2 linked regions of the Alligator mississippiensis genome follow. The protein of the gene in region 2 interacts with the protein of the main gene of each other region in a pairwise test. Links are inferred from orthologs where the notes say so. Each region holds a gene or a part of one and is shown on either strand. Other genes may lie near its edges.

Evidence for each region. The genes of interacting proteins can lie anywhere in the genome.
Region 1: the proteins of EEF1G (region 2) and KLHL18 interact in binary tests that used the Homo sapiens proteins (3 or more experiments, as listed by UniProt). The two-hybrid records come from large-scale screens. The link is inferred for Alligator mississippiensis from reciprocal best matches to the Homo sapiens genes EEF1G and KLHL18.

The regions. Positions count from the first base shown.
Region 1 is NC_081828.1:216,967,759-216,977,946, forward strand, and holds the start of KLHL18 (kelch-like protein 18), read left to right. Parts: upstream 1-5,492; 5' UTR 5,493-5,593; coding exon 5,594-5,734; intron 5,735-10,188. UniProt on the Homo sapiens protein: Substrate-specific adapter of a BCR (BTB-CUL3-RBX1) E3 ubiquitin-protein ligase complex required for mitotic progression and cytokinesis.
Region 2 is NC_081838.1:3,124,697-3,135,005, reverse strand, and holds the start of EEF1G (elongation factor 1-gamma), read left to right. Parts: upstream 1-6,262; 5' UTR 6,263-6,346; coding exon 6,347-6,361; intron 6,362-7,096; coding exon 7,097-7,255; intron 7,256-7,611; coding exon 7,612-7,675; intron 7,676-7,869; coding exon 7,870-8,012; intron 8,013-8,597; coding exon 8,598-8,741; intron 8,742-9,009; coding exon 9,010-9,139; intron 9,140-9,329; coding exon 9,330-9,534; intron 9,535-10,029; coding exon 10,030-10,202; intron 10,203-10,309. Other genes in the region: 5'-3' exonuclease PLD3, read left to right, coding at 101-301, 397-536, 1,128-1,293, 1,412-1,511, 1,737-1,930; POLR2G (DNA-directed RNA polymerase II subunit RPB7), read left to right, coding at 3,139-3,150, 3,484-3,593, 3,730-3,889, 4,308-4,358, 4,459-4,524, 4,997-5,068, 5,282-5,315, 5,508-5,521. UniProt on the Homo sapiens protein: Probably plays a role in anchoring the complex to other cellular components.

The DNA of each region.
Region 1 (10,188 bases), on a different chromosome or scaffold from region 2:
TCTGCACAGGGGCACAGACTGTGCAAAACCCCAACAGCACAGGGATGAATTACTTCTGTTATGTTTGGACATTCCAGTATCAACTTTTCAGGACAGTCATTTGCTTACTGCTCACCTGAGGACAAATAACCTGAGGCAGGGTTACAACAGGGGAAGATATCACCCGTGCCCCAAGCAGAGCAAGCCTCTCCGTTCCTTTCACTACTTTAGCTGCTTCACTATCCCTGTTATTTGCCTTTAAATGAATACTAAGTGCACAGATACAGAGTATGTAGATAGTCTACTATCTCATGATGACTTACCATAAAAATGAAAAAGTACCTTTCACCTGAGGGTCTTAAAGTACTTATGTCTGAACAGCTTAACAAACACCCCTGAGGGCAAAGAGGTATATCCATTTCATACGAGGAAATTTCTTTTTCAATATACTTCTTAGACTGGAAGATTCTCACCATGCCACCAGACTAATGATACTCACCAGCTAACACAGAGAGTGGCTTGTGAGGCCACCTGCAGAAGATGAAACACGCTCATGACTACTGTTTGTATATTAGTATTTAAACACAGATTGAATGCTAGTGAAAGAGTGACAGCCCCGGAGCATGAAGCGCTTTCTTTATCCGAAGAAAAGGGACAGTTCAGAGAGCAGATCTGTAACTTTTCACAGTATCTTGTCAATGGGCTTCTACCTGAACCTGAAGGTTATAAACACATGTGCTCTGTTTCTTCAGCTGCAGCAAGAATCCCGGCAGAAGTAGGGTGACGGGACAGTTCCAAGTGCAAGCTCTAAAAAGAAAGAGAGAGAGAGAAAAGCTTTGGAGCAAGTGCTATTTTCATTATTGTAATAAAGTTCATTATTCATTGTTAGAAGAAAGAGAGTCCTTTCGTGGTTCTTCACCATTGTCACATGAGAGAAAAGTCACGGCTGTAAGAAAGGGGCATTCAGCCTCTATGGCCCACTCAGCCCTTGGCCTTTCTGCTGTCACTGCTGACTGGGATGCCAATTTGCATCGCTGTTTTTATGACGTGGGCACCACAGAACTGAGATCCATCAAGGTCGTTCCATACAAGACACCCAATAGTCTCCCAGGGTTAGGAACAGTGATTCCTTCAGAGAGGTTTTTACTGAGCAGCCTAGAAACGAAAGGCCCCATAGCCCACAGCCTCCAAACCTCCAGCCAACCGTGGATTTTTCAGATGGTATCTGTGGGGGAATCACAGACATTTACACATGAGGATTTTTCCAGCTATTTGAGTTGGTCTAATAAAAGATATCAGATTTACCCAAAGAACCTTGTCTGCCTATGTCCTTAGACCAACACGGCTACAACTTAAACCCCACACAGGCGTTTACTTATTTTTATTGAAGCGTTAAACATAAAATTACATGTATAATAGGCACGTGAGCTGAAACGCCCCTAGCTACTCCAACAACTAAGGCAACAGGAAGAAATGCCTAGATGAGATTATTAGCAAGGTCTCCCTTCACCCTTCACCAACAGCATCTCACCAGCACCCTACAAGAAGCAAGCACTAAACAACCAGCTTCACAATACACAGCCAACAATAAAAGGGGACAAGGAAGCCGTAGCTCTCACCGGAGTGAATGCCATGCTTCTCTGGTGGGGCTAGAGAAATCACAGGTAATAATCATCATGCTACCAGTGGAATACTGGCAAATGTTTGCACTTGCAGCAAATCTTTGCTCTCAAATCTATTTACAAACTACAGGCCTAATCCTGAAATCCTTACTCAGCCCTTGCTGGGGCCTGGAGAGCAACGTGAGTTTTCCTGTAAGTTCTGAGTAAAGACTAAGGATTTTGGTAATTGGAGCTATACAGCCACAGCACCGAAACACAGCTGACTCTTGCGCGGAGGGGAACTCAACATGTCACACAGCAGAGCAGGGAGAAAGGGGGTTCTTGGTTGAGGATCTCGGCTCGACAGCTCAATTTGGACAGGGCACAGGTTGGCACCAAGCTGGCCAAACACAGGGCAGAGTGGAGGAGGGTTGTTACAGCATCTAAGGTGCCCCAATGGTTGCAGCGGCCTCGGGACTGATCTGACCCAACCTGACACACCGGCACAGTTCAGGGCCAGGTAGAGCAGGCAGCAGAGTGGCTTGAGACCTTCCCACAGCAAATGGCTCAGTTTATCTACCTTGGGACAGCGAGCTGGGTCAACTCTGCTGGAAGCCGAACATGAGACAAGCAGGCTGAGAAGAATGGGATTGGACACCCAGACAGGATCATAAAGAAGTCGGGCTGGGAGGGACCTTATGAGGTCTCCTAGCCCAGCCCCTGCTCAAGGAAGGATTGTCTCTGACTCAACCAGCCCAGCCAAGGGGCTGTGCAACCTCCTGAACATTTCCAAGGATGGAGATCCCACAATTTTTCTAGGCAGCCTATTCCAGTGCCTGATCCCTCATAATCAAAAAGTTTTTTCCAATCTCAAACCTACATTTCCTCTGCTACAGCTTGAGGCCTTTGCTCCTACGGTCACAGAGGAAAGCCCATCTCCATCCTCTCTATAATCGCCCTTCAGGTATTTGAAGACTGCGATCAAATCCCTTCTTGGTCTTCTCTTCTCCAGACTAAATAACCCGAGCTCTTACATCCTTTCCTCCTAAGTCCAGGCCCCTGATCATTGTTGTCACCCTGCATTGGACTCTTTCCAACCTGTCCACATCCTCCTTGAAGTGTGGGGCCCAAAACTGGACACAGCGTGCCATCCAGGTGAGTGAGTGGAGGAATCACTTCCCTTGACTTGCAGGTGACACTCCTGTTAATATAACACAGGATGCTGTTGGTTTTTTCAGCAATAAGAAAGCACTGCTGGCTCATACTCAGCTTATGGTCCACTGTAACTCCCATGTCCTTCTCTGCAGCACTGCAGCCGAGCCAGTCATTCCCCTGTCTATATTTGCACACACTTTGTTGAACCTCATTTCACTGATTGTGGACCACTGAGTCATTCTGGATCCTGCCCTTCAGAGTATCTGCAACCACACCCAAATGCTATCTGCAAACTTGTCAAAGATGTCCTATTGGCTTTCAAACTCAATATATCTCCTCTCAGACTACAGTCTGCCAAATTAGGATATCAAAACCATGGCTTTGATCCCGCAGTTTGAAGGAATCCGGGCATTTTTGCATCGCTTTTCTGTCCCAACCACTCCAACGTTCAGAGCAAGCGCAGGTTTCCCAAAGGGACAGTGCTGCCATCTTCACCGTGAGCAACATGAGATGGGGACAGCGTTGGATGTGAAAAAAGAAACGAGTGGCAGCGCAGCCCTGTGGGTGGAAGTGATGCAGACAACACGGGATACCTGGGACGTAGGGATGAAGGGGAGCGAGGCTGAGAAGTACGGATGGAGAGAGCAGCAATGAGCAGTGATAAAAGTGATGCGGGGGCCGGGGAGGCAAGACTGAGGAGGAAAGGCTGGAGGACCCAGGGGTGGGATTTAGACCGAGGCGGGATTTGATCACAGTCTTCAACTGTCTGATGGAAACGGAGAAGACAGAGACAGAGAAGATGGAGACAGGCTGTTCTCTGTGACCGCAGGGGACAGGATGAGGAGCAATGGCTTCAAGCTGCAGCAGGGGAAACTGAAGCTGGAGATGAGCAGGAACGTCCTGACTCCGAGGGTGGTCCTGGTGCCCGTCCTCAGAGGTTTCCGGGAGTAGGTTGGAGATGCCGTGGCTGGGCTGGGTGACGGTCGCCGCGTTCGTCCGAAGCCGAGCAGAAGGCCGGGGGAGTCGGCGCTGTCCGGACGAAGCCGAGCAGGGAGAGCGCAGACGGCCAGATACGCGGGAACCCAGAAGTGCTCCTGCCCCGACCAGGGAGACGCCACCACGCCGGGGCCCAGCAAAGCAGGGGCGAGGGGGCTGCAGGGCCAGGCCACAGGCGGGGGCTCACCCCGGAGCAGAGGCCTGTGGAGCCTTGAGACCCCTTGCAGGGGGATGAGGTCACATGACAAATGTACTCTGTCCAAGTTTGCAGATGACACAAAGCTATGGGGAGAAGTGGACACACCGGAGGGCAGGGAACAGCTGCAGGCAGACCTGGATAGGCTGGACAAGTGGGCAGAAAACAACAGGATGCAGTTCAACAAGGAGAAATGCAAAGTGCTGCACCTAGGGAGGAAAAATGTCCAGCACACCTACAGCCTAGGAAATGACCTGCTGGGTGGCACAGAGGTGGAAAGGGGTCTCAGAGTCCTAGTGGACTCCAAGATGAACATGAGCCGGCAGTGTGACGAAGCCATCAGAAAAGCCAATGGCACTTTATCGTGCATCAGCAGATGCATGACGAATAGGTCCAGGGAGGTGATACTTCCCCTCTATCGGGCGCTGGTCAGACCGCAGTTGGAGTACTGCGTGCAATTCTGGGCGCCGCACTTCAAGAGGGATGCGGATAACCTGGAGAGGGTCCAGAGAAGGAACACTCGTATGGTTAAGGGCTTGCAGGCCAAGCCCTACGAGGAGAGACTAGAGAAACTGGACCTTTTCAGCCTCCGCAAGAGAAGGTTGAGAGGCGACCTTGTGGCTGCCTATAAGTTCATCACGGGGGCACAGAAGGGAATTGGTGAGGATTTATTCACCAAGGCGCCCCCGGGGGTTACAAGAAACAATGGCCACAAGCTAGCAGAGAGCAGATTTAGATTGGACATTAGGAAGAACTTCTTCACAGTTCGAGTGGCCAAGGTCTGGAACGGGCTCCCAAGGGAGGTGGTGCTCTCCCCTACCCTGGGGGTCTTCAAGAGGAGGTTAGATGAGTATCTAGCTGGGGTCATCTAGACCCAGCACTCTTTCCTGCTTATGCAGGGGGTTGGACTCAATGACCTATTGAGGTCCCTTCCGACCCTAACATCTATGAATCTATGAATCTATGGCATCACGATGGGGGGTAAAAACAGGGTGCGGGGATAACGTCATGCTGACGTGTGCCATAGGGTGAAAGGGGGTGCAGGGAGGATGTCATGATGTCTGGCATGGGGTGAAAGAGGGTGCAGGGATCACATCATGATGACATGTGGCATGGGGTGAAAGGGGGTGTGTGGGGATGATGTCATGATGTGTAGCATGGGGTGAAAGGGGGCGCAGGAATGATGTCATGGTGACGTGCGGCATGGGGTGAAATGGGGTGTAGGGATGACGTCGTGATGACGCGTGGCACGGGATGAAATGGGGGCATGGGGGATGACGTCACGATGACGCCTGGCATGGGGTGAACTGGGAGGAATGGGGGTGACGTCGTGATGACGTGACACGGGGGGCAGGGGGCGCGTTACCCGCTCCTCCGTCGCTCCCTCCGCGCCGCGACCGCCAGGGACAGGTCGGGGGGGAGGGGCGGGGTGTGTACAGCGTTCCCATGGCTCCCGCTACTTCCGCCCAGGACCGGAAGTACTCGTCGGAACGCGGAAGTGAGGTCCGGCCCCTTCCGGCCGGCGCTGGCGCTGGCGCTAGCGCAAGGGGGCGGGGTCGCGGCGCTCGGCTACGGCGGCCGGGCGGGGACAGTGCGCGGCGAGGCGAAGCGCGGCGCGGCTGGGCGAGGCTAGACGAGGCGGCTGCCGGCCGGCGGGCGCGGGACGATGCTGGAGGCGGCGGCGGCCGAGGCCGAGCTGGACGCCGAGGACCTGGTGCACTTCTCGGTCGGGGACCTGCCCAGCCGCGGCTACGGCGTCATGGGCGAGATCCGGCGGCAGGGCAAGCTCTGTGACGTCACCCTCAAGGTGCGGGGGGGAGGGGTGGGGGCCATGAGGTAGGGGAGGGGTGCTGGGGTGTGTGCTGGGTGGGGGATGGAGGGGCAGTGGGGCGGGCGGGGGAGGGGTGCTGGGGTGTGTGCTGGGTGGGGGGTGCGGGATGGAGGGGCAGAGGGGTGCTGGGGTGTGTGCTGGGTGTGGGGGTGCAGGATGGAGGGGCAGTGGGGCGGGCGGGGGAGGGGTGCTGGGGTGTGTGCTGGGTGGGGGGTGCGGGATGGAGGGGCAGTGGGGCTGGGGGCCATTGGGACGTGGGGGAGGGTGCGGTGCGGTGTGGGGAGCGCGGCTGGCCCATGCGGTGCTGCAGCCGCAAGCCCCAGCTGCCCAGGGCGAGGGCATCGGCTGCCTGGAGCCCCTCCCAGCCAAGGCAGAGCGAGGGTGGGGGTGACATGACCCGGCCCGGCCCTTCTCTGGTTGAGCATTTGCCCCGTTGCCAGCCCCCGGGCGCCAGGCACGAGCCTCGCGGACTCCAGGGACGTCTTCAGCCCTCGGCCGCGTGGTCCTCCCTCCCTCCAGCCGGAGCCGCTTGACCCAGCACTTGCCGGTGGCAAAGGCGCGCGTTTCGGTAGCTGTTGTGTGTGTGCGTACATGCGCGTGTCGTGCTGGTGGTTACGGTGCAGAAATACTGGCCGCGGCGTAGGAACCGGATGACAGGCTAGCGCAGCGTGGACGGTTCGACGCCCGAGCTATGGCAGGCTTCGGACAGGGAGGATGTCGCTGCTGGGCTGGAAGCGTTCGTCGCGTTCCTCGCAGGCTGCGCGAGGAGTTCGCATCTCCCAGACGTTTTTACGTCACACAATCAGCAGCTGCCGTTGACGCGCCGATGTTGTCGGCGAAGCATCCGAGGCCTGGATGATCTGGGCAGTCATGCTGCTGCCTCCTCCTTGCTGTAGGCCTGCCGTTGGTAGGGCAGAGATTTGCACCGCGTCTTCTGGACGTTCACCTTAATGTGGAGAGACAGGAGTAGGAACCCATTATCTTTTAAGAGCATTATAGTCCCTGCCTTAAAGAGACTATAAGCCAGTGTTTGTAAAGCCTGGATAGGGCTTGCCGTGCTGTGTCATGCAAGTGATCCCATTATGATGCCTGTGGGAGCAGCTGGTGCCTCGGCAGGAGGTGCGGGAGTCTCTGTAGTTGGTAATTACAGACCTGGAGTTAATGGGCACAGGCGTTTGGTGGACACCTATGGTGCTGCTCTCACGCTTAAGGTGTGCAGACTGGTCACTCGGTCGTACGAATCACATCTCGAATTCAGCACTGATACGTTCCTCGGGCGACACAAATGGAGTTCATCCATCCACTTCCCACTGCGTAAGACAAGGGTTGTGTAAATAGCCCTTGTGTTCTTCACTCCAAGTATTGTGGGCGATTTGTATGTAAATGGAGACTATATGGGAATATTCAAGCCTTAAATGAAGAGTATATGGGGATATTCAAGCTGCACCAAATAGGATTCATTTCAGTTGCCCTCAGGATCTTCCTGAGAGAGTGTGTGTTTTGTCTGGGTGGTGACCGTGGGCACGCAGACACGGCACTTCATAACAGGCGGGCAATTAGCTCAGACTGGGGCGCTAATAATGCCAAGGCTGCAAGTTCGATCCCCGTATGGGGCACAAGGTATTTCCTGCCTCAGAAATCAGCGGTTCTCAACCTTTTCTCTACCAGGGGCCGTTTGTAAACCTCGCTGGCCACTGCCGACCCAGTGCCCCTCGCTCCCACCCTGCTGTCCCAAGGCCCCAGCCCTCCAGTGTGTGGGGCATGGGGGGCCCCAAGCCTGCAGCTCTGCCAGCTTGTAAGGAGAAAAACATGGGAAACCGTGGCTTTTCCCTTTAAAGGATAATCTTTTTAAAGTTTGATCCATTTTTTTCCAAGCTTGTTCCCGACCCTTTCATATATTCTTGCAATCCACTTTTGGGTTGAGAAACGCTGGACTAGATGACCCCTAGCGGTTTCCTCCCAGCCGTACTTCTCTGTGACTTCTACGACCCGGTTCCTCCAAATAAACTGCCCCAAAAAGAGACGTTTGGAAACTATTGGATGATTCATGTTTTCGCCGAAAAATACTTCTTTGTCGAAATGGAGACTTTCCCTGGAAACGTTTTCCATTAGATTGGAGATGCATTTTGTAGGATGGAAATTCTGGTCAGGCCAAAACAGGCCAGAGTGGTCGGTCTAGTCCAGCGGGTAGGGCAGTCGCCTGGATGTCAGCCCCAGGTTCAAGTAGCCCCGAGCTTTGGGTGTAGGTTTGCCACGTCAGGGGTGAATGCTTTGGTTGTTGGTTCTTCTGGGAGGTGCCTCTCTCCCTGTTTTCAAGATCTGCGTCTCGGGAGGACAGGCGGGGAGATCTTTGTTCTTCTGTACAACAGCAGCATTTTTAGCATCTCAGTTATTTTTGAGGGGGGATATCCATGTTGTTTCCAGCAAGCATGGTGTTGTAGGAAGAGAAATCACAAAAATCTACCAGCTCATTTGGCTTTTGGCTGGCAGAGGACTGAATGGCCCTTTCAAAAATCAATTTTGAGGCATGTTTCTGCAGGAGGGGCTGAGTTTGAAGTACTTTGGCCTGTGAAGTAGCTGTTCTGTAGATTAAGGAGGCTAAGGCCCCCGTGTCTGTATTGCCTCCCTGGTGAGTCTTAGACCACTGCTGGGAAATGAGCCCTGTTCTTGTCTCTTCCCCGCTCTCTGACATGAGGGAGCCTGGGACGGGTGCTGGGGTGTGCATTCAGGACCCCCCAGGCTGACTGTGCTGCCTAATTGCTAGGTCTGCACGCACAGCTGGAGCAAGCGAGTTGGGCTTGTCTCATGGTGGTGCCGGGCTCAGCAGGGAGGCCGGAGACTGTTTATCAGCCCAGCTCCCCTCGGTAGCACTCTTTTCTCTGAGAATAAATTAATCACGATCATGAAGTGTCCTCCTTCTCTGCCACTTCCACCTGCTGACAGCTGCCTCTTTCAGCGTTGGCTCGCACAGTCCTTGCCAGCTGAGCTGACATTGTTGACGGTCTCCAGCCAAGCCTTTTTTTCCCCTCTTTCCTTCAGTACAGGATGCCTTCTCCAGGCTCTTTAGTATGCATTGCAAGGTGTTGTGGAAGTCAATTTTATCAGATTAACTTTGGAAGTGTCTTTTCAGCCAGTGTAGCAGCCACTTCACTAAGCAGCTGATTTAAGAAATGGACTTTTTCCTTGACCTTGTCGAGGGCCACCCTCAGTGTGTGTTGATGAAGTTTTAAATGTTAAAATGCCTTAACCCCAAAAAGGGCTTACAAAGTGGGTTGCCTGGGAGAGGTTGTATTTGACTAAAGCTCGAGCGAAACCCCGGGAGGAACAATATAGGATGGTTTAAATCTCATTTTTCAAACAGAGGGGTCCCTGTTGGCAGCGGGGCTTAGTGCATGTTTCACGATGAAAAGGCTTGTTGCCATGTTGATTCTCCGATACGGGCTGTCCGAAGGGACGATGTGTACTCTGAAAACCCTTGTGTTCGGTGACCTGGCTTCTCTCCCTTGGCCTTGCCAGGATTAAAGCGCTGCTCTGTGTTTCACCAGAAATGGGAATGAGCACGGTTACTGAGCTATAGCAGGGTTCAGTTCAATAATAGCCCCCTCTCTAATAATGAGCAGAGTTTTAATGGTGCTAGGGGTTGAAAGCTGTAAATGATCCCGTGTGTAGGCAGGACCAACGTTGTTCAGTAGCATCAACTCTTGTCTCTGGTTTTTTCCCCCTTTGAAGCACTGGAAATGATCAAATGAAGGAGAAAGAGAAGCTGAATGAATGTAAAGGGAAGAGGACCTCTTTGGTTAACATGCCGAGTAGTTAGCCTAAAGCATGAGTATTCATTTAGGAGCATCTTAACTCCTGTGCTAAGGTTGAATTTAATCTTTATTGTCATCAGTGGGCCAGGGTTTGAATTTTAAAACACTCAGTAGGAAATGTTAAATGTTAAAAATCCTTGTGTCATCAGTAAAAGTATGGGACTGCTGTTCCTTCTCTCTCTTTCCTCTTCCCTCAATTAACTCCTGCCTGCTTTCTCCATCCCATCTTCTAAAAGCACCAGTGATTACGTAGTTGGAGGAGCCCTTAAGGCAACTCTAAAAATTAACAGAGAACATCTCCGTGAGATGAGCAGAGGCGGCGAGGATTTTACAGCTGTCAGATGTCCTTTTTGGCCATTAGCAGGGTTAGGAAAGCAGTGCTGTGCCACGCTGCATCCGTTTATTCTTTGCTCGTGTTTGAAAGAGCAACTTCGCTGTCGTGACATCTGGAACGGGATTTTAATGAAAGAAACGGAATCTGCCATCCAGGCCACATAAATGCATTAAGTGAACTGGGCATCTGCCACCCCCTCGTTCTTTAATGGAAAATTACATAGCTGAAAATAGAAATGTTTAAGTAATAGTCATAAAAAGAAGAAAACCACCTTATAAGAGTGG
Region 2 (10,309 bases):
GGGCTAGATGCTGGGATGGGGCAGGGGCTGCGGGTGCAGGGCTCAGGGCCCAGGCCCAGGAAGCCACATGCTCACCCCCACCTCACCTTCCCGCCCGCAGGTGAAGGAGCTGGGCGCTGTACTCTACAACTGCAGTTGTGTGGCCAGTGACCTGGGCCGCATCTTCGGCACCTACCGGGCACTGGGAGGGCCAGGCACCCCCCTGCCTGCGGCCTGGCCCTCTGAGTTGGCTGCCCTGTCCAGCCTCCGCCGGCCCCTGAAATTGCAGCTCAATGGTGTCCCCACACAGCTGTTCCTCTCCGTGAGTGCCTGGGGGGTGTGGGAGGAGGGGCAAGGGGAGCTGCGCCCAGGCGACCTCGCTGCGCCGGCTCTGAGACTGTCTGTGCCCAACCCCAGAGCGCCCCACCGGCCCTGTGCTCTGCTGGCCGCACCCCTGACCTCGAGGCCATCCTGGAGACCATCGCGGATGCCCAGGCTTTCATCCATGTTGCCGTGATGGACTTTGTGCCCCAGTGCACCTTCTGCACTCCCAAGAGGTAGCCGCGGACTAGACCGGCACGGGCTGGGGGAAGTCTAGGAGCAGTGATGCCTGTGATCTCCAGGCCTTGGGGTTTTGCTGGCTGCCACATGGGGCTGGGAGGGAATTTTCCCCTTGCATCAAGATTTCTCCCTCTTTGCAGTGGTGCTTGGTGTCAGCCGCAGCCCAGGCTGGGGGCAGTGGCTGGGTTGTGCCAATGCTTCTGCTGGGACTCAACCCAGAGTGTCCTGGCTGGAGGGTCGTGCCCCCTGCTCAGGGTCAAACTGATGCTGCACAGGGGGCAGGAAGAAGTTTTCCTCTGGTCAGATTAGTACAGACCAGGGTGCGGGGTGGGCGTTGTCTTCCTCAGCAGTGGGTGCCCTGGGGTCTCTGGGGCATATTTAACGCCCCTCCCACAGGAGCAGGGTGCTGGCAGACAGACCCCTGGTTTCCCTTTGGGCAGGCTCGGGTGGTTGGGTTGGAGGTGATTGCATTGTTGTGCCCATAGGTGAGTTCGCAGGGGCTGGCTTGCGTGGGGCAGGGGTTTGGGGCTGGATGCGACTCCCAGAGGTCTCTGCCTCTCCCCGTGACCAGCGCCGGCTGCCCGCAGGTTCTGGCCAGTGCTGGATGAGGCGCTGCGGGAGGCAGCCTGCGGCCGGGGGGTGCGCGTGCGGCTCCTGGCCAGCTGCTGGCCTCACTCTGACCGCGCCATGTTCCCCTTCCTGGAGTCGCTGCTCATCCTGCACCGGGAGCCCCTGGGCTGCCCCATCGAGGTGGTGAGTCCTGGAGCTGCAGGAGAGGATCCCAGCCCAGGGAGGGGCAGGGGTCACTTCAGAGCTGGGGGGGAGGTTGGGGTAGGGGGTGACACTACCGCTCCCTCCACCTCTGCTGCAGAAACTCTTCGTTGTCCCGGCCACGGAGCAGCAGAAGCAAATCCCCTTCGCCCGTGTCAACCACAACAAGTACATGGTCACCGACCGCGTGGCCTACATCGGTAAGCCCGGGCACCAGTGCTGGGAGGGGGCTGGAGGCGTAGACACCTGGCTTCTCCCCAGCCCTGGGAGGGAAGTGGGCGTGGGGGCTTGGAGCAGGGAGGAGCTGGGAGCCCGGACCCCTGGCTTCCACCTTTTTCTGGGGACCTCTCTGGTGAGCTGAGCCCTCCCCTGCCCAATCCCAAGCAGCACTGGTGTTTATCACTGGTTTCCCCCCCTCCCCGTAGGCACCTCGAACTGGTCGGAGGATTACTTCATCAACACCGCAGGCGTGGGCCTGGTTGTGAATCAGAGCACCGAGGAGCCGGGGACACCCGGGCCTTCCCTGCGGGAGCAGCTGGCCGCTGTGTTCAACCGGGACTGGGAATCTCCCTACACGGAGCCGCTCAGCCTCAAGCCCCGCTGTGCTGCCAGGCACTGAGGGCAGCTCCCGCTGAGGGTGGGGGAAAGCCTGGGACCCCACCCTCCTCCCCTGGACTGCTTTGGACAGCTGGGGATACCAGGTGGCTCCCACCCCCCACCTGGGGGGGCTGGGACCCTATTAGCCAAAGAAGGGGCAGCAGTAGCTGCCTAGTGCCAGGCACCCCATGGCTGCAGCTATGGCCAGGGGGTCTCTGCACTGGAATCTCAGGGTCTGATGCCCTCTCCCTGCCTGGGGGGGGCGAGGGGTCTTGGGAGGGTTGTGCTCAGGGCAGCAGCAGGGGCAATGGGCATTGTTTGGGGGGTAGGTCATGGGCTGGGGCAGGAAGAATCGGGGCTAATCAGGAGCAGGGCCTTGTGGCGGGAAGGCGGGACGGGGTGGGCAGGGGGCTGCTTTGCTGGATTGCATGGCATTGTGGGGGCACGGCGCCTCTGCCAGTTTGCACTGAGCCCGGCTGGGGGGCTGTGGCCCAGGTTTGGGGGGGGGGGGGCATACTGATGTGGGCCAAGGGGGTTCAAAGCTAGGCTGAGTGGCTAGCCCTGGGGGTGGCCTGCGTGGGGATGGGGGGGCAGGGGGCTTTGTACACAGGGGCTGTGCCTTGGGGGTGCAAGGGGACGCAGCCCTCCCCAGGGGCCAAACGCGGGGCCAGAGGTGGGGGGGTCGGTGGCTCTGAGCAGCTCCTATGTGGCTGGGGGAGGGGGGGGCTGCACCCTGCAGGGGGTTGCAGTGGGTTTGGGGGGCTTTGCAGCTGGGCCATTGCGGGGGGAGGAGTGGGAGTGGGGGGGGCCTGTGCATTGCAGTTGTCACTTTCCAGAGTTTATTTTTGTAACCAGAGCGACAATAAAGCAAATTCTGATGCCACTGGGCCTGTCAATCACCGCATACGCCCCACCCCTCGCGCTATCAATCACCGCCCCGGGCCCCGCCCCTGCCCCTGCCGGGGGCTCCGCAGCGCCCCCTTGTGCCTGCCGCGCGCAGGCGCCGTTGGGTGCCTCTGGTGTCATGGCGGCCGCGCAGCCAGCCTGCCTCTGCCCCGAGTGCGCATGCGCTGCAGCTCGCTGTCCCTCGGCTGAGCGCATGCGCAATTAGTTCCCGTGGGGGTTCTGTTACGGGCCGAGGGGGCGGGGCTCCCGCGGGGCTGCGGCCAATCGGGGGCAAGCGCGGTGTTGCGGGTTCTTTCCGGTCCGGAGACGTCGGGACTCAGGAGGATGTTTTACCACGTGAGTGGCGGAACCCCCCCCCCCCCCCATGCCCCCGGGGCTGGGACACTGCGGACCCCGCCCCAGGGAGACCCCCAGCGCAACCAGGCTTCCCGGCATGCACTGCTGCCCAGCCTTGAGAAGGGGGTTTACCTGGGGGGGTGGACAGCGGGAGGGTGACAGTCCTGGGGGGAGGAAGGAGGGCTGATGGGGGGAGGGAGGGGGGTTGACAGGGCAGTCCTGGGGGGGGTGATGGGGGGGCAGTCCTGGGGAAGGAGGGGAGTGGGTGGGGGCAGGGGGGCCTGTCCCAGCCCCTGTGACAGTCTGTGACCACCCCATGTCCTGCCCCAACAGATCTCCCTGGAGCACGAGATCCTGCTGCACCCGCGCTACTTCGGGCCCAACCTGCTCAACACGGTGAAGCAGAAGCTCTTCACCGAGGTGGAGGGCACCTGCACGGGCAAGTGAGTGGGGGGCCAGGCCAGGCTGGGTTGGGGGAGAACAGGGAGCTGGGACACGTGGATGGAGGGGATCCCACCATGATCTAATGTCCTAACGAGACTGGTGTTGTCCCTCCCCGCCCCGTTCCCTCCCTGGCAGGTACGGCTTCGTCATCGCCGTCACCACCATCGACAACATCGGGGCAGGCGTCATCCAGCCGGGCCGCGGCTTCGTGCTCTACCCCGTCAAGTACAAGGCCATCGTCTTCCGGCCCTTTAAAGGCGAGGTGGTGGATGCGGTGGTGACCCAGGTCAACAAGGTGAGGGGCGGCGGGGCACAGGAAAGCCTCTGGTGTAAGCCCTGGTGCGGAGGAGGGCTGCAGCCCTGCACCATCTGTCTTGGGATGCGGGGGGCTGTAGAAGCTGCTGGAGGCTGGGGCGTGCTGCCTCTGTCCCCCAGGACTAGAGTGACCAGATGTCCCATTTTTGGCTGGGACAGTGCCAGATTCTGCAGGCTGGTCCTGGCTGGCTGGGCAGAAGTCCTGAGCGGCGAGGCCGAGCAGCTTGGTGCGCCAGGCGGGCGGGTGGACACCTGCTGCAGTGCAGGAGCAAGGCGGGCGGACGTACGGCCACCCTAAGATACCACATCCGAGACCCCTACGTTCCTTGCTCCCGCGTTGCCCAAACCCAGGACTGTCACCGTGGCCCTCACAGCTTTGCTGCCTCCTCTTCCCGCAGGTTGGGCTCTTCACTGAGATCGGGCCCATGTCTTGCTTCATCTCCCGCCATGTAAGCACTGCCTGGGGAGGGGGCTGGGGGCTGCCTCTGGTCTGGGAGGCTCAGGTGAGACCTGGGAGCCCACCACAGCTGACTGTCCTTCTCTCCATAGTCCATCCCCTCTGAGATGGAGTTCGACCCCAATTCCAACCCCCCCTGCTATAAAACGGTGGACGAGGTGAGCTGGGGCTGACGGTGCTCCCTGGGGGCACCTGGCAGCATTGGGGGGCACTGGGGAGGCTGGGGTAGAAACTCAGGTAGGGGCTAGGGGGTGCCCCAGAGCAGGGCAAGGGGCAGGAGGGTGGCTGTTTTCCAGTACATGAGATTCCTTGGGACAAGGAAGGCCGGGACGGGGCATGTCTGCTTTAGGCTCTGCTACTGTCCTGTTGAGTGGCCTGGGCCCTGTCACTTTCCCCTCGCATGTGCCTCACTTTATTCATCTGTAAAACCATCCAGCCTCCTTCAAAAAACTTCTGAAACCAGAAAAGAGAGGGACAAGCTGGTTGCAAATGGCATCTTAGTGATGAGAGGCATTCATGTCATTGAAGCCCTTCTCCCCTGTGGAGGAGATGGCAGGGGCTGCCGTGGTGTGGGGGGAGGGGGAAGCAGGGTGCAGAAATGAGTCTCGCCTGGGCTCCACGTGTCTGCAGGACATCGTGATCCAGCAGGACGACGAGATCCGGCTGAAAATTGTGGGAACCCGAGTGGACAAGAATGACATCGTGAGTCCTGCCTGCTTCTTTCTGTGGGGCTGGAGCCGGGTTCCCAGCTACCCCATTCCTAGCAGAGGGGCTGTGGGCCTGGAGCAGCTGGGTGGGAAGGAGTTGTGGGGCTGTCCCAGTGCCAGCGGGGTGGGAGCATGGGGGCTCCAGTCCCAGGCTGCGGGAGGGGGCGGGGGGCATACGCGGTGCTCACACCTGTGTCCTGCTTTGCAGTTTGCCATCGGCTCCCTCATGGACGACTATCTGGGTGAGTCTCGTCTCTGGCTCCAGGCCTGCCCCTATCCCTGCGTACCTGCACAGACTGGTGCTCCTGACAGTTGGTGCCCGCGGGTCGGGCTCTGCTCACCGAGGGGCTGCAGTCTTTCTCAGGTGGGGGCTCCTGGGCGATGGTGCTCCAGGGTCTCCTACATCCACCCTTCTCTCTCCATGTCTCCTTCAGGTCTCGTGAGCTGATGCACAAGCCCGTTCCTCTGGTTGTGTCCCTGGGCTCCAGCTGGGATGAGCCTTGCCTCTGCCCCCCTGCACTGCTTGCCCTATTTATGGGGGTCCGGCGTGGGCCTGCCCAGGCCTGGGGGCCGGGTCCACACCTGCCTGTTCTTCCTCCCAATAAAAGCTGCTTTTCATACACCGCTGTGGTGTGTCTGCTGTTCCCCACTCCCTCCCGTGACCCGAAGCTGCTTCGTGGGAGTGGGAGGGTGTAGGGGGGCAGAGGGGGGCTGCCTGGGGCTGGGCTGTGCTGAAGCACCCGCCCCCGTAGAGCCAGGACTCTGCTGTGCTAGGTGCTGTACAGGCACAGGGTGGGAGTTTGGGGAGAGCTGCAGTAGGATGGAGGGGTGTTGGGGAATGAGCCTGGGATAAGGGGGTGCAGTGACCCTGCAACCCTGGCCAGCCCCATTGGGACCCCAGGGCGGTCTGGGAGGACTGGGACCTCCCTGAAAACAGCACCCCGCCCCCCAGCTGACAGCAGTGGGGGGGTGGGGTTTGGGGCGTGGAGGAGCCCTGGGAACAGCACGTGGGACCAGCTGCAGGACCAGCCCGCGGGCGCCCCCGTGTGACAGAAGCGCGTTATTACCACTTCCAAGGCCTCACCGCGCAGGCGCAAGCTCCTCCACGCCCCCCTACCGCCCCTCGGGAGACGCCCCTTCCGCTGCTGTGACGTCATATGCCGGCGCCGGCGGCAGGAGGCAGCTGTCGTGCTGCCGCGGCCGCGCGCTTTACGGCCCCGCCACCTCCTCCCCCGCGCGCTTTACGGCAGCCTCCCTTTCTCCGCTCGCGAAGATGGCGGTGGCCGGGGTGAGTGCGGGGGCCCCCGCCCCCTCGCGCTATCCGGCCCCATCCGCCCCGGGGGGGGCCCGGCCGGGGCCGGCGCGGGGCGGGCGGCCGAGGGCGGCCCTGGCCCGTCCCTTTGCGGCGGTTATTGGCGGGAGCTGGCGCGGAGGAGCCGCTTGCGGGGCCTGGATGTGTGGGGGGGGGGCCTGGCTCGGGTGACAGCAGGCCTTGGCCCCTAGAGGGTTTCCCTGGGGGGCGGGGCTCGGGCAGGGACCGGGTCGGGGGGGGCGTGACCCTAGCAGAGGTGCTGGGGGCCCCTGGGCCAGTAAAAGGGGGGATTGGGGTCCCGGGGGGGGGTGCTGGTGCCAAGCAGGGAGCTGGCACCGGGCACTGTGCTGCGTGGGGGGGGGGGAAGCTGTGCAAAGGGGGCACAGGAAGGTGTGAAGTGGGGGGGGCATGGGCTGGAGCTGAGGACCCCTTGGTTGGGGTCTTGAGGGGTGTGTGGGGGGGGTCAGAGGAGATCAGTCGGGGGTCGGTGGGTCTGTTGCAGGAGTGAGTTGGCAAAGGGGGGGGGCTAGGTTGAGGGGGGCTGAGGATCCTGCTGGGGGTGGGGCAGGGCAGTGCCCAACGGTGGGTGGGCTTTCGGGGTGCCTCGAGTGAGGGGTGCAGGTGCCTCGCTGGGGGCGAGGGAGCGCTGTGTGCGCGTGCGGGGGGGGGGGGCGCTGCCCGACTCCCCTCACCCCCTGCTGCGCCCCACAGACTCTGTACACCTATCCCGAGAACTGGCGGGCCTTCAAGGCGCTCATCGCCGCCCAGTTCAGCGGCGCCAAGGTCAAGGTCCTCTCCACGCCCCCCCAGTTCCACTTCGGGCAGACCAACAAGACCCCCGAGTTCCTGAAGAAGTTCCCCGTCGGGAAGGTGGGTAACGGCGCCACAGGGGGGGGGGGGGGGGGATGGGATCTGGCTGGGGGCTTTGCCAGGTTTCCAGCCGTGAGTCATCGAAATCGGACACGGCTCCGCTGCCACGCTGTCCTTCTGCCCCGGCTCCTTGCGCTGTGGGGGTGGAGGGCAAGGGGTCCCGCTTCGCATCGAGGGGAGCCGTGCGTCTCCCCAAGGGGAGCTCGGACGGTGTTTGTAAGGGGAGTTTTTCTTTCCAAAGCTTGGCAAGGGGGAAAGGCTACTCCTAGGAGCTGGGGGTGCCCCGAAGGTGGGTTCCCGTACCCACAATCCGTGGTTCCCGTACCCTACTGGTAAACGCCTCTTTCTCTGCCAAGGTCCCGGCTTTCGAAGGCGACGATGGGTTCTGCGTGTTTGAGAGCAACGCTATCGCGTACTACGGTGAGCCCGGTCCCTCTCCAGCTTCAGGGGGCTCCGGTCCAGGCAGCTCTGAGTCTGTCGGAGGTTTGGGGCTGGGGGGATGGATGTTGGGGGCAGCGCCACGTGTCTAGAGCGCTGAGAAGTTTCCTTCCCCAGTGAAGATGGGAGGGACGGGGGGCTCTTGTGCTGCTGGTGACTGTGGGCTCCCTTCTCAGTCAGTAACGAGGAGCTGCGGGGTGCTAGCGCCGAGGCCGCCGCCCAGGTCCTCCAGTGGGTGAGCTTTGCAGACAGCGACGTCGTCCCCCCTGCCAGCACCTGGGTCTTCCCCACACTGGGCATCATGCACTACAACAAACAGGTCTGTGGGAGCCGGGGCTGGAGCGGGGGGCACAGGGCTGTCCTGCAGGGGCCTGCGGTGAGGTGAAGGCTGGGATTCGCTGTCATTTCTGTCGGCTGTGGGCTTCCTGCTCCCCTACTGCCTTTGTTGCCCCAGGCACAGAGCGAGGTCCTGGCTGCTTGGCGATGAGGCTAGGTGGATGCTCAGAGGCGTTTGGTAGCTGAGGTCTGTTGTCTTTCGACCTGGAGTCAGGGGAGGGGTGCTGGGCTTAGCTATGTACAGGTGTGCCTTAAGAATGGCTGGGCGTGGGGTGTCCGCAACCTGCCTCTTTCTCTGGTCCCCCCAGGTGAGACCCTGGCGACTGCCCGAGTGGGTTGCAGGTGCACCCAGTGCTCGTGGGCTCCCCTGCTGCAGTGGATGCCCGGGCCAGGGTAGTTGGGTGGACTGTGCTCTGCAGCGGGAGCTCCCCTGCCGGAGACCTCCCCGTGCTGACTGCCTCTTGGATTAGTGTCTGAGCACCTAAGGGATGGGCTAGAGCTAGGGAGGAGGCTTTTCCGCATGGGTTTCTCTGGCCTGGGTGCTGATCTGGTGTCTTTGCTCCCCCAGGCAACAGAACTTGCCAAGGAGGAGGTGAAGCGGGTACTGGGGATCCTGGATGCACACCTAAGGACTCGGACCTTCCTGGTGGGCGAGCGGATCACGTTGGCTGACATCACCGTCGTCTGTACCCTCCTCTGGCTCTACAAGCAGGTGCGGGTTGTGGGGGGAGGGTGGCTCCGTGGCCGTAGCCAGCAGCTCTGGAGGGGGCTGGCAGCTTTGGAGGCTCTGGACAGGGGCTGCTGTCTAGACGGATCACTTGGCTTGGCCTGGAGCTCTTGGTGTCCAGGACAACAGAAGGCTGCCGCTGTGTGTGCTGCGTAGCCGCCAAGGTTTGTGGGGGAGGTAGAAGGGAACCAAGATCCTCTACACGCTGTGGCGATGGGGCCAGCCCCAGCTGACTGGTGGCCTGTCCCTCCAGGTTCTGGAGCCATCCTTCCGCCAGCCCTATGTGAACACCAACCGCTGGTTCGTCACCTGCATCAACCAGCCGCAGTTCAAGGCCGTGCTGGGGGAGGTGAAGCTCTGCGAGAAAATGGCCCAGTTTGATGGTGAGGAGCTCCCTGGGCTGCGAGGGGGGAGCTTGGCTGAGTCCCCTTGCCAAGGTGTCGGGGTTTGTTCCTGCCTCCCAGGAGCAGCCACTCGCCAGCATTGCCCAGGCTGCACCTGGAGCTAGTGCAGGGGGCCCATCCCGCACCAGCACTTCCTCATAGGCTGGCCCTGTCCTCGCTTCCACTGCAGCCAAGAAGTTTGCTGAGAACCAGCCCAAGAAAGACACCCCCAAGAAGGAGAAACCAGCAAAGGAGGACAAAAAGCAGCAGGCGCCGCAGCAGCAGGAGAAGAAGGAGGACAAGAAGCCGGCCCCCGAGGATGAGCTGGATGAGTGCGAGCAGGCCCTCGCGGCTGAGCCCAAGACCAAGGACCCCTTCGCACACCTGCCTAAGAGGTGGGGATGGACCCCGTGGGGGGAGGGGGGGGTGTTGACCAGTGCACCCGAGGGGTGTCCCCCTCCACCCCTCCCATGTGTCTTCCAGGCTTAGCGGGAGGCAGCTGGGTCTCTGTTCCTTTCCCCCCTTCTCTCCTGGCCTCTTCTGGGCTGCCTGCCACCTGTTTTGTTCATGCCAGTGGCTGGGGCTGCAGCCAGGCGGCTCTGCGCGCCTGGATGGAGCAGGGCAGAGCTGCCTTGTCAGGACAAACTGGGGGAAAGGGGGGGCACGGTCCAGCCCCTCCATACCAGAGGGAGGGAACCTGAGTCAGCTGGAGCCACCAGGGGGCAGCAGCTGCCCGCAGTGCCCCGGCTCCCACACCCTGCCACGTGCTGCAGAGCACTGGGCCACCGCCCAGCACGTCCTGCTGGGGAAGGGGGGGCTTGGGGGCTGCTGTGGGGAGCCCGGCTGGCGCCCACCCTCAAACTGACTAAGCCACCGTCCCCCACCCCCAGCCCGTTCATCATGGACGAGTTTAAGCGGAAGTATTCTAACGAGGACACGTTAACGGTGGCGCTACCCCACTTCTGGGAGCACTTCGACAAGGAGGGCTGGTCCATCTGGTTCGCCGAGTACCGCTTCCCCAGCGAGCTCTCCCAGACCTTCATGAGCTGCAACCTCATCACAGGTGACATCCCCCTGTCCTGTCTCTCTTTCCCCCCCCCCCCAAGCTGGAGCCTGACTGCGTTGGGGGTGTGCTGGGGTGCTGCCCTGACAGTTTTCCTCCCCCTTGCC